Macaca mulatta: one gene and its partner. The protein of the gene in region 2 interacts with the protein of the main gene of each other region in a biochemical or structural test. Links are inferred from orthologs where the notes say so. Each region holds a gene or a part of one and is shown on either strand. Other genes may lie near its edges.

Evidence for each region. The genes of interacting proteins can lie anywhere in the genome.
Region 1: the proteins of PNN (region 2) and RNPS1 form a complex in vitro, tested with the Homo sapiens proteins (3 studies listed by BioGRID and IntAct). The link is inferred for Macaca mulatta from reciprocal best matches to the Homo sapiens genes PNN and RNPS1.

The regions. Positions count from the first base shown.
Region 1 is NC_133425.1:3,489,831-3,492,199, forward strand, and holds the end of RNPS1 (RNA-binding protein with serine-rich domain 1), read right to left. Parts: intron 1,494-2,369; exon of another isoform or gene 1,442-1,493; coding exon 1,342-1,441; coding exon of another isoform or gene 1,275-1,341; 3' UTR 501-1,274; downstream 1-500. UniProt on the Homo sapiens protein: Part of pre- and post-splicing multiprotein mRNP complexes. Auxiliary component of the splicing-dependent multiprotein exon junction complex (EJC) deposited at splice junction on mRNAs.
Region 2 is NC_133412.1:112,292,418-112,294,974, forward strand, and holds part of PNN (pinin), read left to right. Parts: intron 1-831; coding exon 832-987; intron 988-1,064; coding exon 1,065-1,203; intron 1,204-2,176; coding exon 2,177-2,557. UniProt on the Homo sapiens protein: Transcriptional activator binding to the E-box 1 core sequence of the E-cadherin promoter gene; the core-binding sequence is 5'CAGGTG-3'. Capable of reversing CTBP1-mediated transcription repression.

The sequences.
Region 1 (2,369 bases), on a different chromosome or scaffold from region 2:
GGCCAACGTGGTGAAACCCCATCTCTACTAGAAATACAAAAAATTAGCTGGGCGTGGTGGGTGGTGCCTGTAATTCCAGCTACTCAGGAGGCTGAGGCAGGAAAATCGCTTGAACCCAGGAGGCAGAGGTTGTAGTGAGCCAAGAACACACTACTGCACTCCAACCCAGGCAAGAGACTCCGTCTGAAAAAAAAAAAAAAAAAAAAAAAAATTTCCCCTGCTACTCTGGAGGCTGAAACAGGAGTTGGAGGCTGTAGTGAGCTATGATCGCACCATGGTACGCACTCCAGCCTGGGTGAAAGAGCGAGAGTCTGTCTCAAAACACACACACATTCCGAGGGGGTGATAAAACCATCTCCACAGCAGCAACCTAATACCCACAGCACACAAACCCTAGATTCTCCTGACAAAGCATTGGAGGTGCCACTGTGGATGTTGAGGAACAGAAAGTTACTAGGGGCGAGGGTACAGTGAGAAGGCAGTGAACCCAGTACTAGATCTGCATTCCAATCTTGGGTTTATTCAACACAATTCTTCCACTCTACACAACAAAGTACAAACACAATGTCATCTAAAATGCTACAAAGGTATAAAACTCAAAGAGAAATTTTATAGTACTGACTGTACAATAAAAGCAAAAAAGCAAAAAAAAAAAAAAAAAGCAATGTACATGTTGCCAAGATAACCTGAAAGACCACCACGAAGGGCAGGCACAACCATGGCTGCTTGATGATCCCGCACAGCTGGCTCTCACTCGCCAGTTTCAGAGTAGGGTGGTGGGGTGGGGTGTGTGCATGGGTGCACGGACAGACAGAACCATGCACAGCAATTACCATAGGTGAGAGGATCTTTGGGGGTGTGTGACCCTTGAAGTTGGAAGAGGCCTCAAGAGGCCGAGGCTAACAGGGTTGGCAGCTGCACTAAAGCTCGGGACGGCTCCCTTTCCAAAAGGACACCGCCCAGCAACAGCAAGGGCACAGTCTGGCAACCATCTCAGGTAACTAGGGAAGGGAAAAGTGTGCTCCCAGGCAGGCAGGGTCACACCATCCCCCAGAGCCTCACCTGTCCCTGGTGGCCCTGCCACTGAACTGACTCTTAGAAACTGGAAGCGGGCGAGCTTCCTAGCCACAAAACCGGAGGGAATCTTGACAGGCACACAACACCCAAACCAACAGCACTTCTGCAGCCAGAGCCCGGCCGGCAGAGGGGTGCTGACTGCTGCCTGCAAATTCTGCCCGAGTGAAGGGTTTGCTTTCCTACTGATCTTCCTTTGGCTAGAAAAGTGACAAAACTGAGCTGGGTGGGGTATAAGTTACAGGGGCGAGAGCTTCAGTGGCCTGTTTATCGGGAGGAGTTGGAGCTGGAGCGGCTCCTGTGGCGGCGGCGTCCCGGGGAGCGTGATCTCCGGCGCACAGGGGACCTGCGCCTCGGAGAGCGGGACCTGCAGGAAGAGGAGAAACCACATCAGAGTAGCTCAGGCTGTAGGGGGCAAGCTAGCTTCTTTCTGGGTAATTCCCCAGTTTTACTTTTCTGAGACAGAATCTCACTCTGTCGCCAGGTCAGAGTGCAGTGGCACGATCTCGGCTCACCACAACCTCTGCCTCCCGGCTTGAAGCGATTCGCCTGCCTCACCCTACCAAACAAACGGGACTACAGGCGTGCGCCACCATGCCCAGCTAATATTTGTATTCTTTTTTTTGATATGGAGTCTCACTCTGTCTCCCAGGCTGAGTGCAGTGGTGCAATCTCAGCTCACTGCAAGCTCCACCTTCCGGGTTCACGCCATTCTCCTGCCTCAACCTCCCAAGTAGCTGGGACTACAGGCGCCCGCCACCACGCACAGCTAATTTTTTCTATTTTTAGTAGAGATGGGGTTTCTTTTTTTTTTTTTTTTTTTTTGAGACGGAGTCTCGCTGTGTCTCCCAGGCTGGAGTGCAGTGGCACGATCTCGGCTCACTGCAAGCTCCGCCCCCTTGGTTCACACCATTCTCCCGCCTCAGCCTCCCAAGTAGCTGGGACTACAGGTGCCCGCTACCACGCCCGGCTAATTTTTTGTATTTTTAGTAGAGACGGGGTTTCACCGTGTTAGCCAGGATAGTCTCGATCTCCTGACCTCGTGATCCACCCGCCTCGGCCTCCCAAAGTGCTGGGATTACAGGCTTGAGCCACCGCGCCCGGCCGAGATGGGGTTTCAATGTGTTAGCCAGGATGGTCTCAATCTCCTGACCTCGTATCCGCCCACCTCAGCGTCCCAAAGTGCTGGGATTACAGGCGTGAGCCACTACACCCAGCCGAAGTTTTAGTTTTTAATACCAGAAATTGGGACAGGTCCCACCTGATGGGCCTGCCCTGAGCTCTTGGGAACGGGT
Region 2 (2,557 bases):
TCCCAGCACTTTGGGAGGCTGAGGCGGGTGGATCACCTGAGGTCAGGAGTTAGAGACCAGCCTGGCCAACATAGTGAAACCATGTCTCTAGTAAAAATACGAAATTTAGCCGCGTGTGGTGGCATGCACCTGTAATCTCAGCTATTTGGGAGGTGGAGGCAGGGGAATCACTTAAACCCTGGAGGTGAGGTTGCAGTGAGCCAGGATCGCGCCATTGCACTCCAGCCTGGGCAACCGGCGCAAAACTCCATCTCAAAAAAAGAAAAAATGTGACACATGTGCAGATACCTTTTTTTTTTTTTTTTTTTTTTTTGGGTAGAGATGGGGTTTCATCAAGTTGCCCAGGCTGGGCTGAGCTCAAAGCAGTCCATCCACCTCAGCCTCCCAGAGTGCTGGGATGACAGGTGTGAGCCACCATGCCCGGCCTGCAGATACCTTTACATAGTAAAAAAAAAAAAAAAAATTTGAATCGGAGTTTGGCTCTTCTTGCCCATGCTGGAGTGCAGTGGCGTGATCTCAGCTCCCTGCAGCCTCCGCCTCCAGGGTTCAAGTGATTCTCCTGCTTCAGCCTCCCAAGTAGCTGGGATTATAGGTGGGCATGACCATGCCCGCTAATATTTTTGTGTTTTTAGTAGAGATGGTGTTTCACCGTGTTGGTCAGGCTGGTCTCAAACTCCTGACTTCAGATGATCTACCTACCTCTGATGTTTCACATAATTAGTATGTGTAATAACTTTTTATTATAATTGAACTGAAATCATATATACCTTGTGTGTATTTCTTGTAACTGTTTCAACACATAAGTATTAAAGCAGGGTACTTAACTTTTAGCAAAAGCGGCGCCAGGAAATTGAACAAAAACTTGAAGTTCAGGCAGAAGAAGAAAGAAAGCAGGTTGAAAATGAAAGGAGAGAACTGTTTGAAGAGAGGCGTGCTAAACAGACAGAACTGCGGCTTTTGGAACAGAAAGTTGAGCTTGCGCAGCTGGTGAGTGGTAATTTCGAATTCTAAGATTGGTAATCCTTTATGTTTACAAAAGCACTGACCTTTTACCTTTTCTTTAGCAAGAAGAATGGAATGAACATAATGCCAAAATAATTAAATATATAAGAACTAAGACAAAGCCCCATTTGTTTTATATTCCTGGAAGAATGTGTCCAGCTACCCAAAAATTAATAGAAGAGTCACAGAGAAAAATGAATGGTAAGTGTGTGAAGAGGTCCATTGAATTGTTCATAGCGGGTAAGGTAGTATGTTCATACGCACAAGTTTGTTTTCTAAAATACTTATGATTCAGTGATTGGTTTGCTGTGTTTGGTTTTTTAAAAAAAATAAGATATAAGATATTCTAGGCCGGGCACTGTGGTTCACGCCTGTAATCCCAGCACTTTGGGAGGCCAAAGCAGGCCAATCACGAGGTCAGGAGATCGAGACCATCCTGGTTAACACAGTGAAACCCCGTCTCTAGTCTCTACTAAAAATACAAAAAAAAAATTAGCTGGGCATGGTGGTAGAAGCCTGTAATTCTAGCTACTTGGCAGGCTGAGGCAGGAGAATCACTTGAACCTGGGAGGCAGAAGTTGCAGTGAGCCAAGATCGCGCCACTGAACCTCCAGCCTGGGCAACAGATCTAGACTCCGTCTCAAAAAAAAAAAGATACATTCTGAGATGCTGGTGAGTTTGTAGTATAGGAATATTTGTATCATGGAGTTTAATGTGAAAGTTATAGACAGTGCTTATGCATCTGTATTCCTTAAGCATTTGTGTATAATTTTTTTTTGCATGCTACTCTTATTCTGATAAAATGCTAAGAAGACAAATGTGAAAACCAACAGTTTCTAGATGGAACACACATGGAAGGATAGACACTGCTAAGATGATGATTTGTCTCTTTGGGATCAGAAAAATTAATACATAAAGATTAATCTGTTTTATCAGTTAGAAAATGTCTAGTTCTGTCTGCCACTAATTTCTAGTATGTAGATTTCCCATGGATCTTTGCTTTTATAATTTTATGTCAGTTTGTGATTACTTAATTGCCATAGTAGTATTTTGTCATAACTCTACAAAAACAAATCCAGATGAAGCTTAATGACAATTTGTGACCAGTTGTAAAATTGTGGCTTTGAATTTTGTTAATCGGTAAATTTTACACATGTAAATTTTTATTCTTTAGCTTTATTTGAAGGTAGACGCATCGAATTTGCAGAACAAATAAATAAAATGGAGGCTAGGCCTAGAAGACAATCAATGAAGGAAAAAGAGCATCAGGTGGTGCGTAATGAAGAACAGAAGGCGGAACAAGAAGAGGGTAAGGTGGCTCAGCGAGAGGAAGAGTTGGAGGAGACAGGTAATCAGCACAATGATGTAGAAATAGAGGAAGCAGGAGAGGAAGAGGAAAAGGAAATAGCAATTGTTCATAGTGATGCAGAGAAAGAACAGGAGGAGGAAGAACAAAAACAGGAAATTGAGGTTAAGATGGAGGAGGAAACTGAGGTAAGGGAAAGTGAGAAGCAGCAGGATAGTCAGCCTGAAGAAGTTATGGATGTGCTAGAGA